4 linked regions of the Sus scrofa genome follow. The protein of the gene in region 2 interacts with the protein of the main gene of each other region in a biochemical or structural test. Links are inferred from orthologs where the notes say so. Each region holds a gene or a part of one and is shown on either strand. Other genes may lie near its edges. The genes, in order: CBX5, TRIM28, SIRT1 and FBP1.

Region 1 (5,089 bases), on a different chromosome or scaffold from region 2:
GATGGAGATAAAACTCCTACCCACTTGAGGTATAGGCTGAGTTCTCACCCAATCACATTACTATTCAGAAAGATTTTCTTGGATGGCTGAAGCCAAAAGCTTCATTGTTCTGGCCTGTCATGTCACGCAGCAACAGCTGTCTTCTCAACTGTGCAGTATAATTTTTGACGTAATTTATACGAGCACACAGAATTCAATCAGCAGCTGAGCAGGGAAGCAATGGTAACAAATGCTATGAATGGGTGTATGATTTGCATATCATTCAGCGCGTCTGTAGACTGGAGCAATCTCTCCATTCTCATTACTCTGAATAATCTAGAAATGACTGAACACTCCTGGCCAGACAGCTGTATGTTTTAAAAATCAAAAGCAACCCAAAAAACCACCTCAATGGCTGGTGAACTCTAGAGTTAAGGCTATTTCAAGCATTTGTTCATATTTCCTCAGCTTTGGGCTGGGACAAGGATGCTCAAAACCCTGCTATTTCCTTATTACTTTTAGTCTTGATTCTCTAGCCCCCTTCAATTATGAGGAAAAAAAGGGTAAAGAGAAGTAGGGCATTTCTTGGGGAACAAAGGCAGAAGGAGATAATCAGAAAAATAATCTCTACATATAAGGGCAGAGCAGGAAGAAGCCAAAAGAGAACTATCTTGCCAAGAAGGGAGAGGTTGTGTCAACATGCTAATTAATGCCGGGGCCTGTCACTCTCCAAGGTGATAATTTCCATAGAAATGCACTGAAAAAATAAGATACCACTACGAGTTTAAAGGTGGAAAAAAAGTAAGAGCACTAATACTTTGGGGACTCTTGGTGGCAAATCCAAGAGTCAACAAAGCAGGAAACTTATGATTATAGACACTATGAATATTTAAAATTGATATGGTGGCCAATGGCTCCCCTCCAAGAATTCCCCACTGAAAATAATGGCATGGAGGAGAAACGTGGGTCCACTGAGAAGTGAGGGTCAGGTTTGAAGCCTCTTTGGTAACAGGAATGCTTTGGGAGGCCACAAAAGTTGGCAGGGTTGGAGGGTGCCTAGCACCTTGGCACAAGCAAGCACCAGGCAGTCACTCACACCTACATAAATACATAGCCCAAATGGGAGGGGTGAAAGGAAATAATACATATGTACCACATGTGATAATAAAGACAACTGTATCCTACCCCACCATCCTCATGTACTAATAGCTAAAAATCTCCACAGTTAATAATTTTGTCATTTTATGACAGACTACACCAACTTGCAGAAGCAGAATCAGGGACAGCTAAGAAACAAGGCCAAGAGTCCTGGGGCTAAAAGGAGTGCCTTGACAAATCTGAATGTAAAATTTCAAGTCCTCCAAAGGATGGAGCTATTCTGGAGGATGGGTGAGGATGAACAACAGAGGGTGGCCCAGAAGACCACACCAGAAACCCTGTATTCTCCTGGGTAGAGCTGAATGAGGTTGGGGGAAGCCCCAACAGGTAGGCAGTTGCTATTGGCTTTTTCAAAAGATGGGCAACATCATTTCCATCCCAACATCTCAAAACAAAGGCTAGCTGGTCATCAACGTGTTCTAAGAGCCAAAGCAAGAAACCAAAATTCTTCATCAATGTAACAAAATCCCCCATCTAAAAAGCAACCAACCCTGAAGATCAAAACTCTAAAGTGATTAAAAAGTTAAAACTCATCTTGAGGTCACAGGGGAGCAGAAGGAAGAGAGCAGGGCAAAGGAAAAAACTGTGGGAATTACACACAGTATGTAAATGCCTGGTCTTCACAGAGAGACACTTATCATGAATCAGACCATCAGTTATGTTACAAGAGAACCAATACCAACATTTCTCCTGTGGAGCACAGTGATAAGCACATTTTTTATGGATGTGTTTAGGATAGAAGGGGGTGGGTAGAAGGGAGAGGAGGCAGGAAGGTGAATGTATTATGTACAAAGAGAAATGACAGAGACCACCCCCTCCTTTAGCTCTTTGCTGTTTCTTTCTCTTTGTTTTCCGCATCCTCAGGATATGCATGCCACGTCAGTCTCTCTTCATAAAATGCTATCACAATTTGTGGACATTTAACATTAGCTTCTTTTGCAAGAACCAGGTCTGCTTCATCTGTGTCTTTCCTGGAGAGAAAGAATTATGAGATTTAGAATGAGAGGAAAGGTGAGAGAGTGTCCAAACACAGGTTTATGTCATTAAATTATGATTTAGCTGACTTGATTTCTTCTCCATCTTGACTTCAAAGGGAAAAGGATCCTAACAGTCCCACATTTTCAAGGAGAAATTTAAGTAAATGAATCGAGTTAGTAAACATCATTCGACTACCACATCAGAAGACTTAAGCTAGAATAGATGGGAAACCTAGCAGGCTTAACCAAAAGGCTGAAAATTAAACTACTATATAAATTCTGCTCCCATAATTTTTATGTGTGGGTATGAGCATGTGAGCAAAGACACAATCAAACCTACATTCAGCCCTATTGATTAAGCATAAATTGCTCAATCCACTTTTTGGATCATCTGGATCATTGAAAGGTCCTAACTCTCCTCATCATGTGGCCTTTTATTTATTTATTTTTTGGCTTTTGCTCTTTAGGGCCACACCCGAGGCATATGGAAGTTCCCAGGCTAGGGGTCCAATCGGAGCTACAGCTGCCAGCCTACGCCACAGCCACGGTATCCAGGCAATGCAGTACACGAGCCGCGTCTGTGACCTACACCATGGCTCACGGCAACACCGGATCCTCAACCCACTGAGCGAGGCCAGGGATCAAACCCTCAACCTCTTGGTTACTAGTCAGATTCGTTTCTGCCCAGCCAGTAGGGGAATTCCTGCGTGACCTTTTAAACACTCATCCTTTTGGTCAGAACTGTGGATTAGAACAGTAAGAAAGTAGAAATTTCGGTCAGCAACAGTCCTTATAAAACAGAGTGAGGACGAATGTAAAATCTAGTCACTAAAATAAAATGTAGGCATTAAATGCAAATTTCAATTACAATATGAAAAAGAAATCCAGTAAGTTCCTTAACCAGAAATCCAAATCAAGAAAGAAAAAATTTTTAAATTAAAATCCCACCGAGATGTGAGCAAAGACAGCTAACCTCTTTCCTAGGAAACAGAGATGCTGAATTCATAGAGGTAAGCATTATGGATGAGAAGGGGGGTGGGGAGGGAAACACATCGCTAAGAGCAGCTACCCAAATTTGGACTGTGGTGGAAAAAGCTAGTTAACATGTGAATGTAAATCATAAGTACCACATATGGCTGAGTGGGAAAAGCAGTCAATACAGCTCCTTATGCAGACAGAGTATAGTGATTCTTCAAATACAGACTTCTGGGTAATTTACCAACAAAATTTCGATCAGATAAAATATTAAACCTCTTGACTATACAACTTCTAAGGTAATTAGCTTCCTTAGTGGCACTGTAGCATGAACTCTCTATTTAGAGACCAAACTTAAATTACAAGCCCAGAACACTTGGAAATAGAGAGGTAGTGAGGGCCACACTATAAATCACTCTGTCTTTAAGAAACCAAATTGAGGGGAAGTAACTATACTTTCCTCTAAGATCCATTCCCTCTACCGGATGAAATAATTTGTGCTTTGGCCAGTATTATTCTTAATGCTTTTTGTTGAGATTACTCTTCTCTTTTAGACATTATTGAGTGGTCTTGGTCCTCAGTGATGGCAGAAAGCCTCACTCAATTCCTATTCCATGGCCACAGGCTCGTGGTCTGATGGTAAATGATTCACAACTGTGTAAATTAAATGGTTAGGTCATGTTTATATGTTTCCTACCTCAAATCTACACATTAGTATGTGTGCTAATATATTATAATTTGGCTTAATACTAAAGCTTTCAAATGTCTTAAATCCATTCTGAACTATAATTCCCATTTAATACTGACAGTTGGTATCAGCTAAAAATTTAGCTCCCTGACGATCAAAATTCTTAATCAAAATTACTCAGTCTTCTCTCCCTATCTTCCGTACAAATTCAAGTCACTGGCAAAGAAACACAATTGCAGAGTGAGGCCCAATCTCTCTCACCATTTCATTAGGAACATTAAATCGCCACAGGAATCTGTCGCCCCAATGATCTTTTCTGGTTCCAATCCTCTCTCAAAGCCCCGAGCGATATCATTGCTCTGCTATAAATAGAAGATGAAGAAAGGTTACAGCTTGGAGATAACAGTCAAAAAACCTTCCCGTTTCTCAGCTCAACAAAGCACAACCTAAGTTAATATCACTAGATATCACTTTTGTCACCAATTCATAAAATTCTTAGGATCTAAATACAATACTGCATCAGCCAGTGACAGAGATATTTCTACAGGAAGTTGCAGCTGTCCTTCCAGTATTCCTTCAAAGGATTTGGAGTGGCCCCTAAAACTATTTAATATCCTTTAAAATATTCTGGAGTCATCATATAGAAAATCCTCTATCCCCTCATTTAATCTTGTTATTATAAATGGACTACTGCTAAATTGTTCCTTCTGGGTTGATAAACAAGTCCACAGGGGTTACCTGAAAGAAACCCTTTTTCATTTTATAAACTTCAAATATAAAACCTCTTAATCTTTATTTTTTTAGACTTTTAGTTCACCTAACACTGACCAATATTTTTAATACTTCTTTTCCCAGAGTCATCTATGCTTATGGAAGAACAGAGATAAGGATAATTCAAGGCATTATCATAAAACAGAAAATTTCTTTTCAGAGCTCACATACTGTAACACCCACACATTTGGGGAAGAGGCCCTGGTCTATGTCTATCCCTTCCTGAAGGGGATAGATCAATTGCATTAGAGAGCAGAACTGGGGACTTTCCTGGTAGTCTAGTGGTTAGGACGCACGCTTTCACTGCTGCAGCCCAGGTTCAATCTCTGGTCTGGGAATTGAGATCCCACATTAAGCTGCTGCTTGCTGCAGCCAAAAAAAGCCCCCCGAAAAAAACAAAAATAAAAAAAGAGAGCAGAACTAGACTGATAATTCTGTAAGGAATTATTCAGACTTGGTCAAACGATAATCACGCAGTCCAGACAAGGAGCATTAGAGTCTGATTCAGGTGTGCTGCCACTTGTGAGAGCAAAATGGTGAA
Region 2 (3,915 bases):
CCTGATGTGGGCCTCCACAGCGGGAGCCCTCGGCGGCAGGCACGTCGTCACGTGCACCAGAGCAACCAAGGGTAGGGACGGGGTGGGCTGGGTTCTCCGCTGGTCTGGGCGGAGCTGCACAGGCCAAGTCCTCTCAGGTTTTCAAGGCTTGCGAGGTAAAGGTCAGCTGTGAATAATGGCCCGGCACCCCTTCTGTCTCCAAAGGCCTAACACTAGCACCCTGAGGTGGGAGGCGCTGCAGATACCCTGACACAACCCTAAGACCCAAGCCTGGCTGGACCCCAGGTATAGTGTCTGGCTCAGCTTAGCCCAGCAGCAGTCTCAGCCTGCCCAGGTCACTGACAGAGAAAGGAAGCACTGGCAAGGGCCACAGGCCAGCCTGGGTCTGCCTACCTGCCCCGGGACCATCCTCTCCACCAAGGCAGCCCCCACACTAGGAAGGGCCCAGGAGGAAAGGGGGTTTTTCCCCACCTCTTAGACAGAAGGGGTGGCATGGCTGGCAACGAGAACCCCACCCCTAACTGGCTTGTCAGGGCTTTGGGAGAAAGGATATATAGAGACCAGGCCCCCAGGACCACTGCCCCACCAAACAAAACCTAAGTAACTGGTGAAGTTTTTATTAAATCCACAGAAGTAAAAACCATATTGTGAAGGGCTGGGGTATGGGCCACCAAGGAGTGGAACCAGGCCACCGGAGGGAAGAGGAACAGGAGCGGGAAGAGGGGTGACAGGACAGAGAACAGAACCAGGCTGGGCCAGCTTGGGGGCTGCCCAGCCTCAGGGGCCATCACCGGGGCCACTGGATAGGTCCTGGGCACTCAGGCCAGCACCCGGCAGGCTCAGTGGCGGAGGCTCCACCAGCACAGCAGAGAACTTGGTGTCACCAAAGGCCTCGTTCATGCGAGTCTCAAAGAAGCGCTGCAGGCCAATGATGGACTGCACGTCGGCCTTATCCTGCCAGGCAGACGACAGTGGACGGATGGGTCCTCGTCCTCCCGCCGCCCTGCCATCGGCCCCCTCTCCCCAACACGCGCCCCCGCCCCAACGGCTCACCTCCGTCAGCTTGTTGAACTGCTTGAACATGCGGCCCACGTCCTGGGCAAACTCCTGGGGGGAGCTGTAGGGAGGTGACAACTTCTCCTGGAGACGGGCTCGGATCAGGGTCAAGTCCAGGGTGCCGCCAGGCTGATCCTGCAGGGAGAAGCCCCGGGGGGGAAGGTGAGGCCAAGCAGCCCCCGCGCCTCCCTCTCATCCTCCGAAGTCCCAAACTCACCAGAGAGAATGTGGAGTCGGTAGCCAGTTGGTGCAGGGGCCTACAGGGCTCATGGCAGAAGAGGGCCAGGAGGACGCGCTCACACTTCTGTGGATGTTACATGGACACCAGAACATCAAGGGGGAGTGGGGGCTGCTGGCCAAACCAAGGGAGTGGGCCCCCACCCTCACCTGTTGGTTGGCTGGCGAGAGCTTGGCCACCACGCCAGTGCTGTCTCCACCGTCAAGGTTCAGGCTGCCATCCTCCTCCTTCAGGTCAGGGAGCACATGGCAGAGCGAGCAGCTCCACTCCTCCCTGGGGGGAACAGAGAATGAGGGGCTGCAAAGGACCCAGCCCAGCCCTCCACCCTGCAGACCCCACGTAGCCTCGCACCCTGGCACATCCTGCAGGGCAGGCAGGTGGCAATCCAGGTGGAAGCAGAACTCGCACTGGTTGCACATGACCAGGTCACCTGGTTTCTGGCAGACACGGCAGATGGTGGCACTGTCATCCAGGGCACCTGGGCCACCCGCTGGGGCTGAGGTGCCCTCTGGAGCCACCACCTCCAAGCCTGAGCTGGTGCTGCCACTGGGTGAGGCCAGGCGGGGGCCCTCGGCACCAGGGCCCTCCGCCAGGGCCATCAGCACAGGCTTGGTCTCCTGGCCCTCAGTGGCAGCAGGCGGAGCGCCAATGGCAGCCTCTGTTTCTTCCTCCTGCAAGGATGCGGGATGTTCAGCGACGTGCCAGCCTGGGCAGCTGATGGCATCCCTTCCCCAGCCAAGAATACGGAGGGCAGGCTCACCTTGACGATGGCCATGCCAGGCAGGGGCGGGGCCCCAGGAGCCCCAGGGGCTGCAGTCCCAGGTTGTCCAGCAGCAGCAGCTGCAGCGCCTCGCTCGATGACAATGAGGTTGTAGTCCTCCGTGGTGCTGCCTGGGAAGACCTTGAAGACTGGCGGCTGGCTGTCAGCGGTGAGATCCAAGTCCAGGCGTTCGAGGCTCACCCGTGGCACCTTGCGCATGAGGCCGCTCACCTCGCCGTCACCTGAGCGGGACCTGTGGGTGGGGCTTGGCGTGAGTACACGTGTGCTTGTGACCCTTCCATCCCTCTGGTCACCAAAGGATGGCCACACTCACCGCTTTACCCCGGACACGTGGGGCTCGGCACTCGAGTAGGGGTCGTCTGCTTGGACACAAAAGGAGAAGGTGGGGTGGACACAGAACAGCGGAGCTCACCCTCCCACCGGGCACAGACCCACTCACCTGATCCAAAGCCATAGCCTTCCTGCACCTCCATGGGCTGTGGGCAAAGCAGGGAACCTCAGTGGGAAGGCGCCACACAGGACCCCACGCCCCTCTCCTCTCCCGATCCCTTCCCCTGCTCACCTGGCTGCTGCCAGAGGTCTGCTTGCTCAAAGGTCCTGGAGCCCGAGGAGGGGCCATGGGTGCAGGGCCAGTGGAGTTGGTGCCAGGACGTTCTGCCACGATCTTGCCTGCAGTTACGGAGATACAACAAGCCTAAGACGACACCACGACACCGCTGGCTGGGATGACCAAGAGCAGCAAGGGCAAAACAAAACCTCTCACCGAAGGCCTCTGCACTCTTGGTCCAGGCATTGAGATCCCACTGGAACTTCATCTCGCCATGTGGCTCCACAGGGTCCACAATCATCTTGAGGGCCCGGTGCAGCTGGAAGTAGATCTGGGGTGGGGGCACACGAGCACACGGGCAGTCAAGAGGGCCCCGCGGTCCTGGGAGGCCCCCACCTGGAACCCAACACCAGCACACACCAGCTTTTTGGAGAGGAGCAGGGCTGTGTTGTTGTCACTCTCCAGAGCCCAGGAGGCAAAGCGCAGAATGTGTTCCTGGTGTTTCTGGATCTTAGTCATGGTCCAGTGCTGGCGCTCCAGGCGCTCCTGCTGGCCCTCAGTCACCTTCTGCAGGTGGAGGCGGAATGGGGGTCGGGGAAGGAGCAGAGCACAACTTCCACCCGCCACCGACTGGCAGTGGCAGCCTCCCACCACAGGCGGGGGGAGCAGGCGGCAGAGGAGGACCGCCCAGGCTGTACCTGGGCGTCGTTGACCAGCACGCGGCCCCGCTTGTTCAGCTCCTTCATGATCTGCAGGATGGCCATCTTGACATCCACCTGCACGCGCTTCTGCACATCAGACACCTGGCGGATCCTGGGGGCCGAGCGGGTCAGTCAGGCCCAGTGCGGCCGGTGCTCACCCAGGGACCGCCCCACAGCCCTGGCATCCACACTTACGAGCTGCGAACCTCCTTGGTGTTCTTCTGCAACGTCGCATGCTTGTCCCCGAGGCGCTTCACCAGTGAGGCCAGGAGCTTTCGCTGGTTCCTCACTGCATCCTCCAGGAACTGGTACCTAAGGGCAGACAAAGGTGGGCCGGGCGCCCAGCACAGAAACAGGCAGCACCCCCTCACCACGCCTCAGGACTCACTGGTGGTCCTTGTGGGCGTTGAGCTGGCAGTCCCGGCAGGTGAGGGTGTCGCAGCTCTCGCAGAACAGCACGAGGGGCTCGTGCTTGTGCACGCTGCAGTATACCGTGCGCTCACCGTCCCTCGACTTGGCTGGTCCTGGGGGAGGGAACCATCAAGCTGGAGCTCATCCTCAGCCACCTCCAACCCCAGCAGTAGGTGGAGCT
Region 3 (5,545 bases), on a different chromosome or scaffold from region 2:
ATTTTTTTAAATGAGAGTACATTAAGGAGTTCCTGTTGTGGCTCAGTGGTTAATAAACCCACCTAGCATCCATAAGGACACAGGTTCAATCCCCGGCCTCGCTCAGTGGGTTAAGGATCCAGTGTTACTGTGGTGTAGGTCAGCAGCTACAGCACCAATTTGAACCCTAGCCTGGGAACTTCCATATGCTGCACCTGCGGCCCTAAAAAAACAAGCCAACAACAACAAAAAAAAGCACATTAAGAAAAAGATCATTTTGAGATGGTCATGTTACTACTTAGGTATAAAAAACTGATGGTGTGCTCATCTTCAAGGTAGTTTCCCAATGCATCCAAATACTTAATAAATATTTACTAAGGACAAATTATGTGTCAACCACTCTTCCTGGCACTGACAAAACAGTATACAAATCAGTCAGAAATCCCTACCCCCATAGGACTTATATTCTAAAAACAGTCAATAAAAAAGTTACACGGAGAGACTGTTAATAAATAAGTGTTAAAAAGAAAAAAATACAGAAGGGCAATGAAGTAAGAAAGCAAGATACTCTAACCGGAAGAGATCCCTCTGTGGCACAAGAGAGCAGCAGTGTCTCTGGAGCATGGGACCCAGGTTCGATCGTGGCAACAGCATCAAACAACAGTTTTAAGGTAATGCCTAAAACAGAACAAATTTGGACCTCTCTTATGGCACAGTGTGTTAAGGATCTGATGTAGCCGAAGCTAGGATACAGGTCAAAATGGCAGCTGGGATCTCATCCCTGGCCTGAGGAACTCCATGTGGCCCCTGTCAGCCAGAAAAGATTATTTAAAAAAAAAAAAAAAAAAAAGACCATTTCACACAGAGGGCCCAAGTGTAAAGGCCCACAAGTGTGAGAAGGACCTGGTTATTTGAGAAATACCAGAGGTCAGCTTAGACAGGCCCATGCTATTTAGAAACAAAAGCAGTTCAAAGCTCTACCTTCCCTAGAAACAAGCTGATAGTAAATTTCGTTAAACACCTAAGAACCTCATCACCAGACCATAAGGGGACAGAGAATTTTATTTTTAGTTGACTTAAAAAGAAAATACTAAAAAAGATAGCTTAGGCTGTGAAAACCATACCTATCCGTGGTCTTGGAGTCCAGTCACTAGAACTGGCATGTGAGGCTCTATCATCCTCATCACTTTCACAAGAATGGAAACCATTGGTGACGATTTCATCACCAAACAGAAGGTTATCTGCAAAAGAAGCCAAAAGTAACTCAAGGCTGATGAAACAATCTACCATTTAAAATGTATGAATAAGAGAGTTCCTGTTATGGCACAGTTGGTTAAGAACCCAACTAATATCCATGAGCAGGTCGATCCCTGTCCTCCTCTGAGGGTTAAGGATCCAGAGTTGCAGTGAACTGTGGTGCAGGTCAAAGATGCAGCTCAGATCTGGCATTAGTGTGGCATCGGCTGGCAGCTGCAGCTCAGATTCGACCCCTGGCCTCGGAACTTCCATATGCTGCAAGTGCAGCCCTAAAAAATAAAATAAATAAATAAAATGTATGAAGAACTGTAATGATTATGATGTAAGAATTTCCAATGAATAAAGCACTTGGGAGTTACTACTGTGGGGCAATGGGTTAAGCCTGTACCTGCCTGGGTTGCTACTGAGATGCAGGTTGGATCCCTGTCCCAGTGCAGTGGGTTAAAGAATCCCATTCCGCTGCCTTAGTATAGGTCTCAGCTGTGGCTTGGATTCAGTCCCTAGCCTAGGAGCTCCCATAGGCCCAGGTTCGGTCATAAAATTTTTAAATAAACAAAGCACTTAACATTCACACTGAGTGTGTAAAGAATGCCTACTGAATCAGCTTGCATCATTCCCAGGAACAGTATATCCTCATCTTTAGGGATCCTGCCCAGAATCTAAGTTAGAGTTCATCAAAATTGAGCAAGAAATTAAGTCTACTTAAAAATACAAAAAGTAATAAATAACCTAGTTAATTGGAATTTGTCGATCACAAATAATAGAATTCAGGAGTTCCCGCTGTGGTGGAGTGGGTTAAGATCTCAAGTTGTCGCTGCAGTGGGGAGTGTTGGATCCCTGGCCCAGGAACTTCGACATGCTGCAGGTGCAGCCAAAAAACTCCAAAAAACTTATTCAAAGGTGGTGCAAATATAACTACGGCAACTTGCATATATGTACATGTAAAAATACATTTATAATACATAATACTAAACATACACTAAGATATTTGCACTATTCATTCCCACTATTAAACTGTTCCTTGAAAACAGGGGTCGTTTTTCCACTCCAGTCCCTAATGCACACGTCGTAAGCTTTACACAGGTCAAATGGCCCAGATTGTATTTACCAATAAAAGATTAATAAAAACACGTCTATCCAGCTAGAAAACATGACACACTCAAAGATGACGAGACATATACAACCATCATATACTGTATCTGCTTTAGTAGGTCAGAAAAGCGTCAACTCGTATTTCGGGGCTACATACACACACACAGACACTTAATCTAAAAACCACTATAAGAATATGATTTAGAGAAAAAACACTATTCACACAAAGTATTCTAAAACCTATTTCTCTCCTATGCCCTCTATTAACTGCACCAAAGTGATGCCTGTAGAAACAGCTATGCTCTTCAAATTTTGCAGGTTGTGACTTTAGAAACAGCTTTACTCTTTTAAATTTCAAAACAAGTTTATAAATAAAGGCCCTCAAAAACAACAACAAATTGCACAGGTGTCAGTTTGCAAAGTCAACTGCAAATGGTTGTTATCAGGGACAGTCAAAAGTTGCAGGTTTAACTGTGCGGGGCGAGGGGAGAAAGGGCGGAGAAGCAAAAAACACTTAACAAAAGCAATATGCTAAAAGAGTAGGAGGAAAGAGAAACTTATTTTAAAATCCACTGCGAGGCTCGCCAGCCCCGCGGCTGCGCAAAGCGCAAGGCCGCCGGGGCGGGCCTGGGACTGAGGGGAGGAGGGCGGGGAGAGGGCGAGGGAGGGATAGAGTCGACGGGCCGCTCCTGCAGCCAGGCCTGCAGCCGCGGAGGCGCGCAGCTGAGGGCCCTGGTTGGGAGGGGGACGCTACAAAGCCAGCCACGAGCCCCCAGCCTGCCCGAGACTCCCCCACCCCACATCAGGAGGGGCCCCGAGAGGAGGCGGGGGGATGCGCAGTCCCGGCCGCCCGCGCCCTGCGCACCTCGGTACCCAATAGCCGCCGCTGCCGCCGCCTCTTCCTCCTCCTCGCCCTCGTCGTCGTCGTCGTCGTCGTAGAAGTCGTCGGCCGGGGGCGCCTCCCGGGATAGGCCCTGTAAGCCCGGCCCATTGTTTCCTTCTCCTGCCGCCGCAGCCGCCTGGGCCTCCCGCTCCCCGCCCGCAGCGGTCTCCCGCCACAGCACCGCCGCCGCCGGGCAGCCGCCCGCCGCCGCCGGCAGCTCACGCTCCAAGGCCGCCCCACCAGGCTCGCCCGGGCTCCGCCCGACGCCCGGGCCGTCTCTCCGCGGTTTCTTGCGGAGCGGCTCCCCGGCGGGGGGCGACGGGGCCTCCCTCTCAGCCGCCACCGCCGAGGGGGAGCCGCCGGGCTGAAGGGCGAGCGCCGCCTCGTCCGCCATCTTTCAACTGCCTCTCTGGCCCTCCTCCCTCACCTCCTCTGCTCCCGCTCGACTCGCGGCACTGGCGCCCCCGCGGCTCCGGCTGCGGGAGATTTAAACCCCGTCACGTGACCCGCCCCTCCTCGCCCCCGCCCACCCGCAGCTCCCGCCACCCACGCGGGCCGGACCACAACACGGCGGGTCACGTGGCAAGCGGAGGCGGTGGGGGCCAGGAGCAAACGCTGCAGGGTGCTGTGGCCCCACCCCTCCGCTGCAGGCGCTTCTCTCAGCCAAACTTCTCTTTCAAGCTGTCCTCAAATCACTGCTGCCCGGTTAGCTCAAGTTTTGGTTTGCACTGCGAATTTCCACTTCTGCCTAAAGTGCACACCTTGCTCTCCTCACTTAGTCTTTTCTGGACTTAACGTTAAGGCTTAAAACTTAGTTCCTGAAAGGCGATAGGGAATGAAGCTGGCCAAATAAGCTAGGTGATGGGTCTGTTTTGTTAACCTGTATGAGTAGAGGCAAAAGGACACACACCTCACTCTTCACCCTCCTCAAACCGTTCTGGCGGGTACTCTTCAGCTCCTATTTTCTGCTTGCTTCTCTCCTTAGCCGGTTTATTTTTCTCCCTCTCTCCATTACTCAGAGGGTGATATACATTGTTAGACCATTAAAAGCATGTATCTGCCCTAGAAAGAGGTTTGACGGTGGGGGGCCGGGTAGGGATCAGCCTGTTCGATTTCAGGCCCCAACTTAGCTCCAAATGTGTGTGATTTATCTTTTCTGGGCTTCAAAATGAGTATATTGGGCCAAGTGGGGCCTCATGAGGAGAGCTGAACTGAGCATGACTTGGCCCTTATAAACATCGGTTTGGTTTCGAACTTGAGGTCTTTCTGATTGACCTTGAGCCATTTATTTAGCCTTTCTACACCCACTGTCCTAATCTCTGCAATGGTAGAGTTGTGCTGAGAATTAAGGTAGCGGGTTCTCTTGTGGCACAGTCTTGGGATCTAGCGTTGTTACTGCAGCGGCTTGGGTCAATCCCTGGCCCCAGAACTTCCACATGCAGCAGGTCAGGCTGGGAAAAAAAAATAGTTACATAAGATTGCTGGATATAAAGTGAGGGCTAAATAGAGCTAAAATATTAGTCCTGCCCTACTTGAAGGCCTTCTACTTTCCACTTTTCCTGACATTCCAGAACTCTTGTGACTTCATAGCCTACCTTAACTAAGGATGTGTTATAGTATGGCCAAGTTTGGTAGGCATCTGCCTCTGCAGCATGGCGTTTCTAGCCACTGAAGGGACCTCTCTGAATTTACAATAAATCAGCCCTTAAGCTTAAAGTGGGTCCTGCCTCTACCATGCCAATTACTTGTTTGAACTTAAGAAAGCAATCTAAGATGTTTCCTCCTTTAAAAAAAAAAGTTATAATTTCGAAAATGTATCTCCAATGTCCCATCTAAACCCAAATCTCTTTGTACCTCAAATTAAACTGAGACTCTCCCCTTACAAGTGGTTGCGTGGTTTCTGAAAGTGAGGCTGTCTTTCCTCCTAGAGGCCTTGAAATCATGATTGAGGTGTTCCTTCAGATTGATGCTCTCTAATCAATCAGTGACCAAATCCTGCTGTCCTTTCTTCCCTCCTATACACTTTCCAATTCCTAAGTACACAGGTATCTCGCCCTTCCTGGATGACATACTTAGCCCTGTTTTCTCCCCACTTTATCTATCTTACAAAATACTTCATAAATTGATTCTCAACTATGTGGGTAGGATATAATAAATAAAATGTTGAGGAGTTCACACTGTGACTCAGTGGTAAGGAACCCAACTAGTAACCAGGAGGATGTGTTCTATCCCTGGCCTCCCTCAGTGGGTTAGGGATCTGGCATTGCCATAAGCTGTTGTATAGGTCAAAGAAGAGGCTTGGATCTAGCATTACTGTGGCTGTGCTATAGGCCA
Region 4 (5,089 bases), on a different chromosome or scaffold from region 2:
GGGTCTCCAGTAAGAGGGTGACAGAGGATCTGCCCCCTGGCAAGAGTTCAGAAGGGAAGATCAACACATCTCTCCCCAGCCGTTTATCCCCATAACAAAGACCAGTTCCTGCCAATGTGGAGCGTGTTGGAGCTAGAAAGGAAGACAGGGAGCAAGAGTGGAGGGTTGGGAGAGAAAAGAGACTCGCATTAACGGTGATCACTGAAAGGTATCACTGTGACTGGTTCATTTATTTTTATTTTTTTGGTAAAAGTCCAAAAAAACGAAGTCATCACACAGTAGATGCTCATGAAGCCATGCTTTGCAGATGCCCTGCCCTGGGAGCTGGCCAGAGCATCCCAGCTGTGAAGGAGCTTAGCTCTCTGATACAGAGACATGGGAGACTGAGAAGCTTTTCATATATGAAAGCACGTGAGAAATGCAAATAAAGCTGTTGTCGTCTTTTCAGCAGAAACTGAAAGCCAAGATGAAAAGAAAACGGAGTTCCTGCTGTGGCACAGTGGGTTAAGAATACAACTGCAGCCGCTCAGGTCACGACAGAGGCATGGGTTTGATTCCCGCCTGGTGCAGTGGGTTAAAGGATCCAGCACTGCTGCTGTGTAGGTTGTAGCTGCAGCTCCCATTCAATCCCTGGCCTGGGGACTTGTGTATGCTGTGGTTGCAGCCATAAAAAAAGAAAGGAAACAAAAAGAAACAGAAGGGAAGGAAAGGAACGAGGCTCAGTGGTAAATGAACCTGACTAATATCCATGAGGATGCGGGTTCAGTCCCTGGCTTCACTCAGTGGGTTAAGGATTCGGCATTGCTATGAGCTGTAGAGTAGGTCACAGATGCAGTTTGGATTCTGGGTTGCTGTGGTTGTGGTGTAAGCCAACAGCTATGGCTCCAATTTGACCCCTAGTCTGGGAACTTCCATATGCCGCAAATGTAGCCCTAAAAAGAGACAAAAAAAAAAAAAAAAGAAGAGAAAGTAAGAGAGAAGAAGAGAAAAGAAAAGGAAGCTCTAAGCTGATGCAAGGCTCGCCCCCTTTCCTCCCTGCAGGCATCAGGAGCCAAGGGTGCCTCAGATCCGGGGAGGGCAGGCAGCCATCAAGGAGTATTACAGGCACCCTGCATGGTTCTCCCAAACACCGAGGGGCCATCAGCTGTGAGGAGGGCAAGAGACTATGAAACACGCGGAGACTTGCTCTCAGAGACAAAGTCTGCGATCTGGAAACAAGAAGAGATTTAATGTGTCCTCCACATCCATCAACTCAAAGCCAAGAGAGAAGTGACCAGAAATCCGCAGACATCAGTGCTTTTGGAAACTGCACCCTGGGCTCAGCGTGAACTTTGCTCCAGTTCCGCCACTGTTTTCCCCTGAGATCAATCACCTCCTCGGGAGGCTGGTGCTGTTTCCCTACTCTTGTTTATTTATTAAGCATTGGTACTTCCAGTGCTAAGGAGGCAAAGTCCACTTGTGCAAGAGTGCAGGGGACAAAGATGCCTACATCCTGACGTACAGGACCTGCCAGCCACAGACCCGAGGCCTCACCACCAGCAAACTGCCCCTCACAAGATTCTGGCGGCTGTTGGTACCCGGTGTTCGGTTTGTCAGCAAAAAGCACCAAATCCATAATGGATTCCATTCGTGTCATCTGAGGACGATTCTAAAACTGAAAGATATTTATAGGAGTTCCTGTCTTGGTGCAGCGGAAACGAATCCAACTAGGAACCATGAGGTTGTGGGTTCGATCCCTGGCCTCGCTCAGTAGGTTAAGGATCCAGTGTTGCCGCGAGCTGTGGTGTAGGCCAGCAGCTGTAACTCCAATTTGACCCCTAGCCTGGGAACCTCCATATGCCATGAGGTCAGCCCTAAAAAGCAAAAAAAAAAAACAAAAAAACAAAAACAAAAACAAAAACCACAAAACCTGAAAGGTATTTATAAACCCAATTCTTTTTCTCTTGGGACACTGGACCCAATGCATAATAAATGTGTCAACCTCTTGGAGATGAGTCTATGGAATCCCTCTCAATGGTAGGTTTAGTTGGGCCAAAGATTTAAAGAGATTTCTTTGGTCAGTTTAGCTGCTTGGCTGAAAATGTCCATGAACAGAATAAATGAACAACTCCAATTGATTGACATGTGGAAGAAATTACCCACAAGTTAAAACGGTTCATGTATATTTTTCATGGCACCTTGGGCTCCTTTCCCATAATGGAGCTTTTCTCTCTAAGGTGGACTAAGGAATTAGCTTCATTTCCTTCTTTATTTTCAATTCCTTGGGTTCGTCAAAGCCTTCTCAAAACCACAAGGGTTCACTGAAGGTGTGAGCACACGTGTAGGACCTTAGATGAATCTGGGAGCTAATTCTGAAGAAACGCGGCAGTTCACTGCATCCGTTGGGACCCCCGTTCAGCTCAGGCAAAGATGCTGGTAATGGATAGAGTAGGTGGCAAGCAGACCCGCCTCGGGCCCCATCTGGTCCATAAATGTATTTTAGTTGGCTCGCACAGTGTTGTACAAATCCAGAAACACTACGTTTTCTAAAAAATCCAGTGTTTGTTGAAACCCTGGAAGCCTTGGCAGGATGGAGCCACTATTCGTAAGGAGTAACAACGGCTGGACATCCCCAGGTCCCCAGCACCCCACCATTACCCCACCACCGCCTGGCTGTCTTTCCCCAGCAGACGCCACTCATTTTCATGGCCTGCCTGGCCCTGTGGGCATCTGAGTCGGCCAAGTAATGTCTGCTCTGAAGAATTCATCTTGGGAGTTCCCGTGTGGCTCAGTGGTTAATGAACCTGACGAGGTCCCATGAGAATGCAGGTTCGTTCCCTGGCCTCGATCCGTGGGTTCAGGATCCAGCATTGCCATGAGCTGTGGTGTAGATCGCAGACCAGCTCGGATCTTGTGTTGCTGTGGCTGTGGTGTAGGCCAGCAGCTGTACCTCTGATTTGACCCCTAGCCTGGGAACTTCCATGTGCCACGAGTGCGGCCCTAAAGAGCAAAAAAAAAAAATCTTCTTGGAACAAAGACTTCCCCCATGCTCTGGACAGACATCCTGCCTCACCTTGATAACCCTTTCATCATGTATATGTTGTCCCTCCATCTCCCCCCCAACCCCTCACCCCATCATCTCTGTCCCTCCAGGGGGTTCATCTTGCACCTCTAGGTACCCCCCCCCACCAAGACACACAACAGACACTCACGGCCGCCAGCCAAGCAAGCACCTAACATCCCCCAGGGTCTCTCACCGGGTCCAGCATGAAGCAATTGACTCCATTCACCATGGCCAGGACCAACATGGTGGCACTGCCATAGAGCGCATAGCCAGCTGCCACCAGGTTCCGGCCTGGCTGCAGTGCGTCCTTCTCAGAAGGTTCATCAGTTGAATTCTGGGGCAAGAAAGAAAATAAAACACGTCTTTGGTTTGGTTCTGGTCTGTTTGGTGGGTTCTCTTTTCCCGTTCACACACTAGCAAGATGCGTTAGCAAGGTGCTCTCCCCATGAAAGAGGGCATCTTCCCGGAGGGGGGCCTTCTTCCACACGTCAGTAATATCCTGATTATATTACCACAGCAGCATTCCCAACAACCCCCTGCATCTGGAGCCTTCTCGCCAATCAGAGTCCTCCTCCAATTTTATTAATTTGATAGTCCTTCATTTCGCCATTATCACTTTCAGAAAAGAACGTGCCTCCTGGCCAGCGCCCACTAATTTAATCTGATTACAGGCATCAATGCCTTCCCCCTGCCTACTCCATCTTTATTTAAACAAATTAAGCCTGGGCTGCAGGGCTATGAGTCTGGTGAGGAAATCAATTTCATGAGCTCCTGCCAGTTGCAGCATATACTCCAGTGAGCCGTGTGGTCCATACTCCCTCATCAAAGAGATTCTCAGAAATACAGCAATGGAGACCACTTCTCCAAAGTCATTACCATGTAGGGCAAACACTTTCCATTTTGGGGGACCATGACCTACAATAAAAAGTACATTTTTTTTTTTGTCTTTTCTAGGATTGCACCCGCGACATATGGAGGTTCCCAGGCTAGGGGTCTAATCGGAGCTGCAGTCACCAGCCTATGCCAGAGCCACAGCAACACCAGATCCAAGCCGAGTCTGCAACCTACATCACAGCTCATGGCAACGCCAGATCCTTAACCCACTGAGTGAGGCCAGGGAAAGAACCCGCAACCTCATGGTCCCCAGTTGGATTCGTTAACCACTGAGGCACGACAGGAACTCCAAAAAATACATTTTAGGAGTTACCATCGTGGCTCAGTGGAAACGAATCTGACCAGCATCCATGAGGACGCAGAGTCGATCCCTGGCCTTGCTCAGTGCCTTAAGGATCCGGTATTGCCATGAGGTGTGGTGTAGGTAACAGACGTGGGTCAGATCTGGTGTTGCTATAGGCCAGCAGCTACAGCTCCAATTCGACCCCTAGCCTGGGAACCTCCATATGCCGCAGGTGATATGATACATTCTCATTTGCAACATCCTTTAAAGATATCCAGACCCCACAGCTAAAAGCAGGGTTTCGGAAGTGCTCTAGCAGCTTCAGAATCCAATTTGCTTCCCTTAACTGGACACAGGGATACTTAATAACAGACATATAGAATGTGGTTTCTGAAGCTGAAACTTCCTAGCTCTGTGGGACCCTGGGCAAGTTAACCTCTTGTTTCTTTATCTTAAAGGAGAGGTACTGAAAATTAAGCATCATGCAATGAAAATAGGGCCTGGCATATAAAAAGGACTCAACAAATAGTAGCTATTAATATTACTTATCTTGTGTATTAAGATTCAATAGACAGGAGTTCCTGCCATGGTGCAGCGGAAACAAATCCAACTAGGAACCATGAGGTTGCGGGTTCGACCTCTAGCCTTGCTTAGTGAGTTAAGGATCCGGCGTTGCCATGAGCTGTGGTGTAGGTCGCAGACGTGGCTAGGATCTGGTGTAGCTGTGGCTGTGATGTAGGCTGGCAGCAACAGCTCCAATTCGACCCCTAGCCTGGGAACCTCCATATGCTGCAGGTGTGGCCCTAAAAAGACAAAAGACCAAAAAAAAAAAAAAAAAAAAAAAGATTCAACAGACAGTATCACAATCT

Evidence for each region.
Region 1: the proteins of TRIM28 (region 2) and CBX5 form a complex in vitro, tested with the Homo sapiens proteins (6 studies listed by BioGRID, with this or other methods). The link is inferred for Sus scrofa from reciprocal best matches to the Homo sapiens genes TRIM28 and CBX5.
Region 3: of the proteins of TRIM28 (region 2) and SIRT1, one has a biochemical effect on the other in vitro, tested with the Homo sapiens proteins (2 studies listed by BioGRID). The link is inferred for Sus scrofa from reciprocal best matches to the Homo sapiens genes TRIM28 and SIRT1.
Region 4: the proteins of TRIM28 (region 2) and FBP1 form a complex in vitro, tested with the Homo sapiens proteins (2 studies listed by BioGRID). The link is inferred for Sus scrofa from reciprocal best matches to the Homo sapiens genes TRIM28 and FBP1.

The regions. Positions count from the first base shown.
Region 1 is NC_010447.5:19,452,449-19,457,537, forward strand, and holds part of CBX5 (chromobox protein homolog 5), read right to left. Parts: intron 4,140-5,089; coding exon 4,039-4,139; intron 2,109-4,038; coding exon 1,958-2,108; 3' UTR 1-1,957. UniProt on the Homo sapiens protein: Component of heterochromatin that recognizes and binds histone H3 tails methylated at 'Lys-9' (H3K9me), leading to epigenetic repression. In contrast, it is excluded from chromatin when 'Tyr-41' of histone H3 is phosphorylated (H3Y41ph).
Region 2 is NC_010448.4:63,098,219-63,102,133, reverse strand, and holds the end of TRIM28 (transcription intermediary factor 1-beta), read right to left. Parts: intron 3,848-3,915; coding exon 3,712-3,847; intron 3,636-3,711; coding exon 3,519-3,635; intron 3,436-3,518; coding exon 3,321-3,435; intron 3,190-3,320; coding exon 3,043-3,189; intron 2,954-3,042; coding exon 2,839-2,953; intron 2,745-2,838; coding exon 2,638-2,744; intron 2,552-2,637; coding exon 2,515-2,551; intron 2,438-2,514; coding exon of another isoform or gene 2,435-2,437; coding exon 2,389-2,434; intron 2,308-2,388; coding exon 2,055-2,307; intron 1,966-2,054; coding exon 1,444-1,965; intron 1,361-1,443; coding exon 1,274-1,360; intron 1,192-1,273; coding exon 1,054-1,191; intron 955-1,053; coding exon 778-954; 3' UTR 602-777; downstream 1-601. UniProt on the Homo sapiens protein: Nuclear corepressor for KRAB domain-containing zinc finger proteins (KRAB-ZFPs).
Region 3 is NC_010456.5:71,089,242-71,094,786, reverse strand, and holds the start of SIRT1 (NAD-dependent protein deacetylase sirtuin-1), read right to left. Parts: upstream 3,621-5,545; 5' UTR 3,606-3,620; coding exon 3,194-3,605; intron 1,221-3,193; coding exon 1,104-1,220; intron 1-1,103. UniProt on the Homo sapiens protein: NAD-dependent protein deacetylase that links transcriptional regulation directly to intracellular energetics and participates in the coordination of several separated cellular functions such as cell cycle, response to DNA damage, metabolism, apoptosis and autophagy.
Region 4 is NC_010452.4:27,611,831-27,616,919, reverse strand, and holds part of FBP1 (fructose-1,6-bisphosphatase 1), read right to left. Parts: intron 3,378-5,089; coding exon 3,237-3,377; intron 1-3,236. UniProt on the Homo sapiens protein: Catalyzes the hydrolysis of fructose 1,6-bisphosphate to fructose 6-phosphate in the presence of divalent cations, acting as a rate-limiting enzyme in gluconeogenesis. Plays a role in regulating glucose sensing and insulin secretion of pancreatic beta-cells.